Linked DNA regions of Canis lupus familiaris. The protein of the gene in region 3 interacts with the protein of the main gene of each other region in a pairwise test. Links are inferred from orthologs where the notes say so. Each region holds a gene or a part of one and is shown on either strand. Other genes may lie near its edges.

Region 1 (3,645 bases), on a different chromosome or scaffold from region 3:
ACCCCGGCAATGGTACATAATGGCCACAAGAGGGTGCGCAACCTCTTCAGCTCAGAAGTGTGTAGCCTACCCAAAGGAGTACACTGCACTTCAAAAAGGAATACAAGGCTTTGAAATGAAAAGGTAGTTTACCCAAGAGTACATTACAAAATGGCAACAGAGTAGGCACTGGAAAGGGGTATCTGAATTCCCAGCCTGAGGGGGCGGCAGGTGCCCCAAGTCCAGGAGAAGTGGCACAGAGAGGGCTGGCAGGTGGCAAAGGAGGAGGGGCTAAGAATATGCTTTAGAGAGTTCCATCACCTTGAGGAGATAGGAGAGAGTCTTTAGGAGAGAGCTACAGACTGAATGTATTGCCGCCAAACGACCGGGCGCAGTGCTTGCAGAACAAAACCTGAGGAATTTAGGGGAAGTGGAGATGAACTTGGCTTCCTTCCCTTCCCCAGCAGAGAAAGAAAAGTAAAGAAACTGCAGGGGTTATTTTAGGATTGGAGGAAGACACCTCCACACAAGACGGCACAACAACTAGGTAAGGATCACCTGACATCCTTTTCTCTTTTTTGCCTTCCTATAATTAGTCTCAGGCCCCAGGAAAGACAAGGACCAAAATAGGGGCAGTTAGCTGGGGTTCCAAGGGTTAATCGCCAATAATTCATTCTCTGACATCAGTCACAGCCCCTGCTCTCACCACCGCTGTCCCTGCCGCCCAATCTGTCCCCTCCTTGGGCTCCAGGTTGGCAGCTTCTGTGAATTCTTTCTTCGTTGTAATTCCCTAGGGTCCAAGGACCCAGGCCCAGAACCGGTCTCCTGCCCTCTCCTCAGGTCCCAGGCATCTAGGGCTTGCTCTAAGGGAGGAAGGAAAGTAGGCTTCCCCCCTTCACCATCTCTCCCCCTCCCAGGATGTGGGCCCTAGGACCAAAGGGCCTCTGTCTTTCCCTGCCACCCCCCACCCCCCACCATCCATTGTAACCCAGACAAGGGGAGTTCTTGTGTCTCAGCCTCTGGCAGGCATCCTTGTGACCCTATGCTGGAAGGTCCCGGGCAGGATGGGGGAAGGGAAATCATGGGATCAGAGAAGACACCTCCCCACTTTAGAAATTATGATACACCCCCCCCAGAGCCCAGAGACTTCAAGCTTCTCCTCCCTCAGATTTCCATCAGCAATGGGGAAAGAAGGTGTTTGGGGGGGAGAAATGGGGAAACTCATCTGCATATAAAAGGCCTGAGGCCCCGAAGTGGAAGTGGAAACCGAGAAGGTGTGGAGACACAAAAGCTGAACCTCCTGGCAGACAGATTTGGAGCCAGAATACAAGAAGGGGGGCAAGCCAGGGACAGGGTAAGACAGGGGACCAAATAGGGCAGGCCATACAAACTTGTGAGAGCTGTGGGTAGAGGCCCCGGCATTTCCCTTCCTAAACGCACAGATATAGGACTACTGGCATCAGACAGGAATGTGGCCACAGAGGAAGTGAGACCCTCTGGACTAAAATGAGAACATTCCATTTAAAAAGTAAGAATCTTTCTGAAAAGAAGCACAAATCCCTGGCAGTGAGCAGCTTTCCTCCCAGGAGGGGGGAATGTCCCCACTTGCAAGAAATAATGGTATAGAGAATAAATGGTATGGTCTCACTTAGCAGCAGGGGCTCAGCCACCTGCATACTGACCCCTAAGGACCCGTACCAAAGAGAGGCTAACCCATCTTGGCAGGAAGTGACATCACTCACCAGACAGGAAGGGGTGGTTCTACCAACCCCAAAGGCTTCTGGGAGGGCCAATCCATGGAGGGTTGGCCCTGAATGTCCATGTCCCTCCACAATCTCCATCTTGGCCAAGAGGGGGGCCAAGGCTCCAAGATGTTGGGTGAAGTCATTGCACCCCCATCTCTTCTTCAGCGATCTCCTAGGGTTCCTAAATCCCTCAAATCCTGACCTAGTTGCAGGGGCACGGGAAGAGATACTATCACACCAGGAGCCACGGGCCAAGCCTCTAGAGTCAATGTATCTGTGGAAATAGCTCTAGGGTCCCAATAATGGAGGGATAAAGGACAGCCTCCTCAGGGACCAAAAGGATGGTAAGACCAGTTTCCATGGTAACTGATTTCAATGTAGCCTCTTCCTAGCCCCAGAATGAGGGAGAATAAACTTCTAGGGAGACCAGGGCCTAGCGATAAAAGAGCCACAGGAATACAAAAGGGTGGGAAAGTTATTATAAGAAGGTCACGTCATCCTGGCACTGCCCCCAGTACCAGTGGGCCTCAAAGCCCAGTTTGGCACCTTCATCCTCTAGGGGCTCAGGAGGTCCACCATGGAGCCCCTCCCCTGGGGGCTTCCATACAGCCCTCAAGCTCCCTAGTCTGCTGGCTGTCGGGTCCACCTCAGTCCTGGCCCTGTCCCCACTGGGTATAACCTTTGCCCAGTCCGTCTCAGGGCGGGGAGCACCAGGGGGGCCCTGTTCATCCAGCTCGCTGGGGGCCACCGTGTCTAGGAAGCTGCCAATGGAGAGACTGTCCAGCCGGTCCATGGAGCTAGTGTCTGGCAGGCTGTCCCAGCTGCCTCGCCTTGAGTGGCCTGGGCTCCCGCCTGTCAGGCTATACTGGCTGCTGGTGAGGCTGCTGCAGTGGCTGGTCAGTGTCCCCCTCTCCTCCAACAGCCAGCGCACAGCCTCGATGCCCTCATTCAAGCTCAACAGCTGCTGCAGGATCTTCACATCGATGGCTCGCAGGTAAACCTGGGGGAGTGGGAGAAGGAATTAGTCCGAGGTTCTGAGACATGGGTTTCCCAAATCTTTCCAGAGGCCCCATTTTGTAGCTCAGCCAACCACGCCTCAATTTCAAGAAGCCTGGGAATAGAAGCATGGTGGGTTTTAGAGTGTGGGCTTTAGAAGCAGACAGATTATTGTTAAATATCTCAGTTCTGGGGGCGCCTGGGTGGCTCAATCGGTTAAGATCAATCAAGACCCGAGGTGAAGGCCATGATCTCGGGGTCCTGGGATCAAGCCCCGCGGAGCCTGCTTCTCCCTCTCCCTCTGCTGCTCCCCCTGCTTGTGCTCTCTTTCTCAAATAAATAAATTAAAAGAATGAAATAAAATCTTTAAAAAGAATCTCAGTTCTACCACTGATTAGCTATATGATTGTGGACAACTTTCTTACATTCTCTGAGCCTTGGTTTCCTTGTTTGTAAAACAAGGCTAACTCACTCATCTACAGGATGGCCGCGAGAAGTCTGAGATGCTGTTTATTAAGTACGCAACATCGGGCTTGACACAGAGTAAGGTCTCAGTAAATGTTTAGTATTGAAATCTGATCCTACTGAGCTTTGAACTTCATAGATAGGGTATTAACTACTGAAACAGTCCAGATTCGAAGAACAGCCTAATAGGCTGTGTTGCCTGGTGCTGATTAGGAAGTGGACTGGGCCAAAGGGAGGCAAGAGCTATGGAAGAAAGAGGAAGCTAACCTGGTTCCCCAGACCCTTCAGGGTGTTGGCAGCTGTTGTTCAAAGGGTCAGAATCCTATTGGCTGGGGATTCAGGCCTTGTCTTCACCACACACCTGTCTCCCTGTCTATACTGGGAGTAAGGATGACTTATTGGGTCATCTCCAGGGTCCCTCCCAGCTCAGATGCCAGAAGTTATTTTCCCCAAACACAAG
Region 2 (3,745 bases), on a different chromosome or scaffold from region 3:
CACCTCTTGTGAGTGTTATAAGCAAGTGTGATTGAAGCATAAAGAATCAAAGAGTTAACCCCCGAGACAGAGCAGCATATTTTTAGGAGCCGCCAATAATATGTTAATGAGACCTGACCCTCTAAAGTCTTACTAATAAGCTAATGGTTCTGTTCTGCTTCTCTTTCCAGCTGGTATTTTTTAACATACCCTTGATGGCTTACCTGTGTTGGAGCTTGCTGCAGCGGTGCTGTGGTCACAACTTCCGGTCTCATCTCCATCAAGGAAAATACTTGAAAATTATACCTGTTCACCTACTTATGTTACTGCTATACATCTGGCAGATTTATTCCTGCTACTTTCTTCATATGACATATGGCACTTTAGCTTTCTTCTTCTCCCCTTTGCGGACCTGGTTGACACTGTTGACACCTGTTATCATTCATAGTGTGTGGACTCTGAACTCTACTGAGCTTGGAACCTTTGTGGCACAGTTAAAAAGCCACCTGAGCTCCTGAAGGCCTTGTCTCACCATCCACCTCTTTGGCCCAGGCCTCTGCCCCAGCAGCAGGTGGAAGGCCAGTGATGGTGGGCAAGCTTCAGGGAGCTGCTGCACCCTGGACACCTGGGAGTTGAGTGGGATTACCCACTACTGATTCCTACAGAATGGACTGCAGAAAAATCTCTAAATAATGCCATGATTCCTTCCTTCTCCAAGAAGGCAAAGGATTGATTTACTTTTGTTCAGAGAAAGTCCTAATCAGGAGATCCACAGGTGAGGGACTGGGTGTGTGTATGGGAGTATTTTTTATGGTTACCTCGTGTAAAGTACCTAGCACAGTATGTGGAATTCAGCAGCCCACAAGGGTGCCACGTTGGGGGCAGGGAAGCTTTGTGAACTTGGGCCCTACCTTGACTACCCTTGAGATAATTAGCTCAGGTCTACTTTTCCCTCAGGGTACTGGGTTCTCTGCTTCTTTAGGTGGGGTGCTTTCAGCTAATCAAATAAATGAATGATGAATAAGAACTCTGACTGGGCCTTGCATCTGTGGGCGGGAGGAGGCGAGGCCGGGACCCTCGGGGGCGGGGCCAGGCTTCGGGAGTCGGAGGGGGCGTGGCCGGAACCCCCAGCGACGAAGAGAGGCGTGGCCCGGCCTCGGACGCTGAGAACGGGCGTGGCTGGGGCCCCGGGGCGGGGCCGGGCGAGTTGTTGCCGGAAACGAACCCGGACCTGAGGCTGCCGGAAGCGGAGCGCCCGCTGCCCTGCGGCCCTGGCAGCCGCCTCGGCCGCTCTCGTCCGGAGGTTCCAGGCGATCTCCTGAGATGGCGAGCACAGCCGCACCTACAGCCGCAGTCCCCACCCTAGATCCGCCTTTGGAGCAGATCCGGCGCTTGGCAGTGGAGCTGCGGTTGCTCCTGCCTGGCGTGCGGGGTGAGCTGACGCCTTGGGGGCTGGTGACGGCAGGGGCGGGCTCGGCTAGGGAAGAGGCCGGCGGGGGCGCCGGCGGGGGCGGGGGCGGGGGCGGGGCCGGGCCGGGGTGGCTCCGCTTACCTGTGCTCTTCCTTTTGCCACCCCCGGTCCACATGCTACACCGGCTACAGTTGGCGAAGCCCGGGAGACCACCAAGGAGTTTAATGCTGAGACGTTTTGGAGGAGACTCAGTGAGTGCCTGTCCTGTTGGGGACTTCTGTTTCTCATCCCTTCCAGGGTACTGACGACCCCTTTCCCTCCCGCTTTCCCCCCCTCCCCTCCCCCCGCCGCATCCTCTCAGTCCTTTGCACTTCGGAGGTTGGGATATGAAACACTGATCCGGGGAGGTGTTTTTGAGGCTGACATCTCCAAAGTCCATGCAGCAGCTGCAGGCTTCTCCTTTTGGCGCTGACAACACGGCCCCTCCCCTCTGTCATCCCTCAGACCGGGCAGCAGAGAACGTGTCGAGGGAAGCCACGACCCTGACTGAAGTCTTCTCTCGAGTTCCACTGCCCTCTCCGCAGGTGGGCTTTACTTTCCTGGAATCCTTGTGCTTGCCTCGTTGTTCATTAGGGATCCAGTCGTTTTCTTTCCACCCTTTACACTGAAGCCAGGGGGTTAATTTTCCACACCTGTCAAGTAAGATTGCGGTTCTCACCTCGCAGGGGTGCGAGGTTGCCAAGGGCAGTCAGCCCCTGGCATGCCGTGCTCAGGTCATTCAAATAGGTATTGGTTCAATCTGCAGTTCATCCTGGTTATTTCCTTTCTGATAAATATTTTTTTTAACACTCGCTATTTGCTAAGTGTTTTCACATACGTAATTCCCACCTGACAGATGAGTAAGCGGGCTTAGAGGCTCAGGTTAAGGTAAATAAGAGTGGAACTAGCATTTAAATTAGGGCCCATGATGTCTAAACGACACCTTTTCTGTTATGCTACATAATATCCTTTTTGTATTGAATTGCTTTTTATATTTAATCAGTAACATATATATACAATATAAAATTCAGAAGATGTCAAAGTTAAGTGTGCTAAAAAATTTATATTTCTCCTCCCCAGTTACTTTTGTATTATTCCATATATATTCGATGCACATACACACTCATGTGTATATGCCCGCTTCTTTTTTACACAAATGATAGGATACTATAAACTATAAACACTTTTCTGGACCTTCCTTTAAAAAACAATTAACAACATGGCTTGCACATTGATTCTTAGCAGCACATATGAAGTTGCTCAGTTCTTTGTAATGCTGCATGGTATTCAATAGAGTGTATATAACTATAATTTGTTTAATGATACTTTATGTGGACATTAAAGCTCTTTCCAACTTGTAACTATTATAAACAGTGCTGTGTAAATTGCCTAAGACAATCTTTGTATATATCAGAAGTGGAATTGATGGAACAAGAATTTATGCATTTTTATTTTTATTTATTTTTAAAGATTTTATTGATTTATTTGAGAGAGAGCACAAGTGGTGGGGAGGGGCAGAGGGAGAGGGAGAAGCAGACTCCCCACTGAGCAGGGAGCCCCATTCTGGCCCAGATCCCAGGACCCCGAGATCATGACCCTAGTTGAAGGCAGATGCTTAACCAACTGAGCCACCCAGTCACCCTGAATTTATGCATTTTTAAATAACCAGTTATTATAAAATTGATGAAAATAAACATGTTGGCTATGACTATGCTTTATGCTATTTTTCCAGAACTAGGTATACTTAATTTGAGAGTAAGATTATTTTAAAAATGGCATATTCATTGCCTTATTTGGTTTTAATAATCAGTGGTTTGATTCTTTTTTCAATCTATATATCCAGATGTTTTAAAATGGAAAAAATATTCTTTTGCTGCACCTACAATAAGCTCTCCCTACCCCCTCCCCCCGCATAGGTCCCAGAGAACTGTGATAAGAAAATAAGAAATGAATTGTTAGAGAGCATTTTAAAAGCTTTGCTTAAGAAAGTCAATATTTATTTCAAAAGGAGTAATATTACCTTATTTTTATCTGTTGATCCTTTCTTTCAAATATACTTAGGACTTGTTGCTAAAATTCACAGCTAGTAGGACACTATGAGGAGCAGCATAGAATTATTTTTCTGTACATGCTCAGGACAGTGGGTTCACTCATAGGTGAAAAGTTTTAGTTTTATTTGAGTTATATGTATTTGAATCCCATTTGCTTTCTTAGGATCTTAGCATGTTAGTCTACTGAAAAATGGTTTGTTTTGTTTGTTTGTTTGTTTTAATGTTTTTGGATGTTGAAACAAAGTTACATTGTCATAAACAGTTT
Region 3 (3,745 bases):
TCCCTGCCTTTTCCAAGTGGATTTCCGGGGGCTAAAAAGCAGGTTTCCTCTCAGAAAAAAAATTAAGCATGTCTGTATGTTTAGTTACATTAATCCTAGAAGAAGGCTTCAAGTCATGGCTGAGGGAATTAGGAAAAATACTTTGGTTCTTAAATCTTTCACTCATTCTTGATGTTCCTTTGGAGAATGGAATTGTAACCCAGTTTGTTTTTCCAAATCGTGGAATGGCCACTTTGACTCAGTCTTGTGTGTCCAGGGAGGCAGTCCTGCCCCAGTGCAAACTCATTTACTGAGGCTCCGTTTCTAGCAAGGTCTTTGTTTTGGGGGGCTTTGCTTTAATTTTTTTTTTTTTTTTTAAGAGAGCAAGGGAGTATGAGCAGGGGGGAGGAGCAAAGGAGTCCAAACTCCTGCCAGACCCTAGGACCCCAAGGTCATGACCTGAGTTGAAGGCAGATGGCTTAACTGAGCCACCCACGTGCCGTTGTTTGTTTTTTTTTTTTTCGTTTGTTTTTTTAAAAGATTTATTCATTTTCATTTAGACCCAAGTACAAACAGGAGGGGCAGAGGAAGGCTGACGGAGACTCCCAAGCCAAATGCATTGGCCCAGGGGTTCCACCTAAGGACCCTGAGGTCATGACCTGAGCTGAGACCAAGAGCAGGATGCTCGACTGGTTGGGCCACCCATGTGCCCCTAGGCACTAATTGAGCGGCTTCTCGGCCAGAAGGAATTACAATCGGGCCTTCTGCCCATTACATTTTTCCGGAGTGTGGGGAGTGGCCACCGCCCGCCCACCCCATTGCCGGCACCTCTCCCGGAGTAGCTGCGGGTCCTGGACTCTGTCAGGTCATTTTGATTCGCATCTTGGCCCCCTTTTCTTCTCGCTGGAGCTCCTTTCTTGCAGTCCGGCCAGAGTGGGTCCCGGGCGAATCCTTGGATGCCGAGGTGTTCCCAAAACACAAAGAGGGACCACGTGCGGGACGGCGCACCCCCGGCGGCGAGCTGAGGCGCCCGCCGCTTCCGGGGCCAGCCCCGCCCCTCGGCGGCGCGCCGCGCTCTTCCGAGTCTCTATGGTACCAACTTCCCCCGCGCGCCACTCCTCGCGAGACTTCGGCGGCGCAGCAATGGCGAGATCGTGAGTGCCGCTGACGGGAGTCAGGAGAACGGGCTGGGACGGGGCTCGGGCAAGATCGGGCCGGGGGAGATCCGGCAGGCCTGGGCCGCCTGGCGCGGAGCGGCGGCTGGGGGCGCGAGGCCCCTCTGGGCCTGGACAGCCGCCCACGACCAAGCTCCCGCCTCTTTCCCAGATGCCGCGTCACTGCTCCGCCGCCGGCTGCTGCACACGGGACACGCGCGAGACGCGCAACCGCGGCATCTCTTTCCACAGGTCAGCGCGCGTGCGCATGCGCCCGTTTTACCCTCTTCGCGGAGCCACGATTGCGCACGCGCCTTCCTCTGTTTGGCGCGAGGCTTGTATTTGTAGGTGGGAAGGGGTGACGGGGGCGGTGCCGGTAGGACCGGCTCTAGACGGAAAGGTGGCGCGGGCGGCCCGCCGGCCTGGGGCCTCTGCCCTCGGGCCCTTACCTGCCGGGTGATCCCCAGGAAGTTGCTCTCCTTGAGGCCTGTTTCCTGGCCTGGGCCTGGCAGGTGGCAGCGGGTGCCCGGCCAGCCCTCGCTGCCCGGAGCGCGGGCACCCTGGTGCTCACTGGTTTGTGGCTCCGCAGACTTCCCAAGAAGGACAACCCGAGGCGAGGCTTGTGGCTGGCCAACTGCCAGCGGCTGGACCCTAGCGGCCAGGGCCTGTGGGACCCGGCTTCCGAGTACATCTACTTCTGCTCCAAACACTTCGAGGAGAACTGCTTTGAGCTGGTGGGCATCAGGTGAGCTCCTCGGCGGCCACGGCCGGGCAGGGTTTGAGGAGCTGGCCGCTGGGGGCGGCTGCAGGGCCAGGAGAGGAGGCTCCTGAGTCACTGGCTGGGGGACAGCGTGGCTGCCTCTCCCCAGCCTCGTATCTCAGGGACCGCGAGACCCATCCCCTCGGGATGACTGTGCCACTGGCAGAAAAACACGAGCTTTCTCAGAGGCCGTTCCTTGCAGCCCAAGTCCTGCCAGCAAGTCCGTAACAAAATCATTCTTTTTGGCTGGTCAGCCTAGTTCTTAACTGTGAGGAGTCCCGCAGGGAAGAGATTGGTGTAACTGCCTACCTTGGCATTCCTTTAGCTACGTGCTTGCAACATGCCTACCCACCTCCCACAGCGCTAGCATGGGAAAGCCTGATTCGGGGTGCTGGAGGCGTGGTAGTTCTGTGCCCCGCAGGTGGCCCCGGGTGGCAGTATGTGTTGTCCATCTCATCCAGGCTGCTTTCCCCTACAGTGGGTATCACAGGCTGAAGGAGGGGGCGGTTCCCACGATATTTGAGTCTTTCTCCAAGCTACGCCGGACGACCAAGACCAAGGGACACAGTTACCCACCTGGCCCCCCCGACATCAGCCGGCTCCGGCGATGCAGGAAGCGGTATGTGTGCTGTGGGTGGAGGGTGCCTCACTCCCACATCAAGTCTGAAAGATTGGACTGTGTTTAAGGTGTCAGCAGTCTTGCTGAAGAGGGTTCAGAGCCAGCAGCATGGACTCTGATGGGCTGGTGACTTGGGATCTGGCAAGGCCTTGGCCCACCCCATTAGTCTCTCTCTCCCTCTCTCTCTCTCCTCTCAGATGCTCTGACAGCCGGGGGCCCACGACTCCATTTTCTCCACCTCCACCTGCTGATGTCACTTGCTTTCCTGTGGAAGAGGCATCAGCCCCTGCTGCTTTGCCTGCCTCCCCCACTGGGAGGTTGGAGGCTGGCCTCAGCAGCCCCTTCTCAGACCTCCTGGGGCCCCTGGGTGCCCAGGCAGATGAAGCAGGCTGCAGCGCCCAGCCCTCACCGGAGCGGGAGCCAGAGAGACAGCCGTCCCCCCTTGAGCCACGCCCCGTGTCACCCTCAGCCTATATGCTACGCCTCCCACCCCCAGCGGGCGCCTACATCCAGAATGAGCACAGCTACCAGGTGGGCAGCGCCCTGCTCTGGAAGCGGCGGGCTGAGGCCGCACTTGATGCTCTGGACAAGGCCCAGCGCCAGCTGCAGGCCTGCAAGCGGCGAGAGCAGCGCCTGCGGCTCCGGCTAAGCAAGCTGCAGCAGGAACGGGCACGGGAGAAGCGGGCGCAGGCTGATGCCCGCCAGACTCTGAAGGAGCACGTGCAGGACTTTGCCATGCAGCTGAGCAGCAGCATGGCGTGAGTGAAGGGCTGCTGGCCCCGGAGCTTCGGGCTCTTCCTCCCTCAGAATCCACCTGGAAAGGGACCCGGTCTGAGCTGTGTCCACCAGACCTGCCAGATGCCATAATAAAGTGGATTCTAGGAGGCCCTACTATCTGCTTCAGCTGGGGCTGGGGTCCCTCCCCTGGAGTCCGAGCTCTCCGCTGTGGAAAGCAGGAAGTCTGGCTCTTGCCCGCCCCCCCTCATGCAACTCCAGGCCCCACAGGTTCTCTGAAGGACAGGATGGTGTGAGCAGAGGCCAGGGCCGGCGCCAGGAACCTTCTCCTTGGTACCTGAAGCAGTCTAGGCTTAAGCGGTCTAGTCCCTTTGAAAATATTCGTGAAACCCAGGCCAGATGCAGTTTGCGGGGACACCTGTGTGGCTTCCATCTGCTGGCCCAGTCTGTCCAGCAGTCAGTAGGGTGCAGCACCTGAACACCAGCCACCCCCTCACC

What was found.
Region 1: the proteins of THAP7 (region 3) and LURAP1 interact in a two-hybrid assay, tested with the Homo sapiens proteins (2 studies listed by BioGRID and IntAct). The two-hybrid records come from large-scale screens. The link is inferred for Canis lupus familiaris from reciprocal best matches to the Homo sapiens genes THAP7 and LURAP1.
Region 2: the proteins of THAP7 (region 3) and CCNDBP1 interact in binary tests that used the Homo sapiens proteins (3 or more experiments, as listed by UniProt). The two-hybrid records come from large-scale screens. The link is inferred for Canis lupus familiaris from reciprocal best matches to the Homo sapiens genes THAP7 and CCNDBP1.

What each region holds. Positions count from the first base shown.
Region 1 is NC_049236.1:14,251,658-14,255,302, forward strand, and holds part of LURAP1 (leucine rich adaptor protein 1), read right to left. Parts: intron 2,725-3,645; coding exon 2,203-2,724; 3' UTR 1-2,202. UniProt on the Homo sapiens protein: Acts as an activator of the canonical NF-kappa-B pathway and drive the production of pro-inflammatory cytokines. Promotes the antigen (Ag)-presenting and priming function of dendritic cells via the canonical NF-kappa-B pathway.
Region 2 is NC_049251.1:10,346,485-10,350,229, forward strand, and holds the start of CCNDBP1 (cyclin-D1-binding protein 1), read left to right. Parts: upstream 1-1,177; 5' UTR 1,178-1,302; coding exon 1,303-1,411; intron 1,412-1,581; coding exon 1,582-1,641; intron 1,642-1,894; coding exon 1,895-1,974; intron 1,975-3,745. Other genes in the region: TMEM62 (transmembrane protein 62), read left to right, coding at 171-497. UniProt on the Homo sapiens protein: May negatively regulate cell cycle progression. May act at least in part via inhibition of the cyclin-D1/CDK4 complex, thereby preventing phosphorylation of RB1 and blocking E2F-dependent transcription.
Region 3 is NC_049247.1:30,665,520-30,669,264, forward strand, and holds THAP7 (THAP domain-containing protein 7), read left to right. Parts: upstream 1-1,149; 5' UTR 1,150-1,305; coding exon 1,306-1,481; intron 1,482-1,722; coding exon 1,723-1,878; intron 1,879-2,371; coding exon 2,372-2,512; intron 2,513-2,709; coding exon 2,710-3,274; 3' UTR 3,275-3,403; downstream 3,404-3,745. UniProt on the Homo sapiens protein: Chromatin-associated, histone tail-binding protein that represses transcription via recruitment of HDAC3 and nuclear hormone receptor corepressors.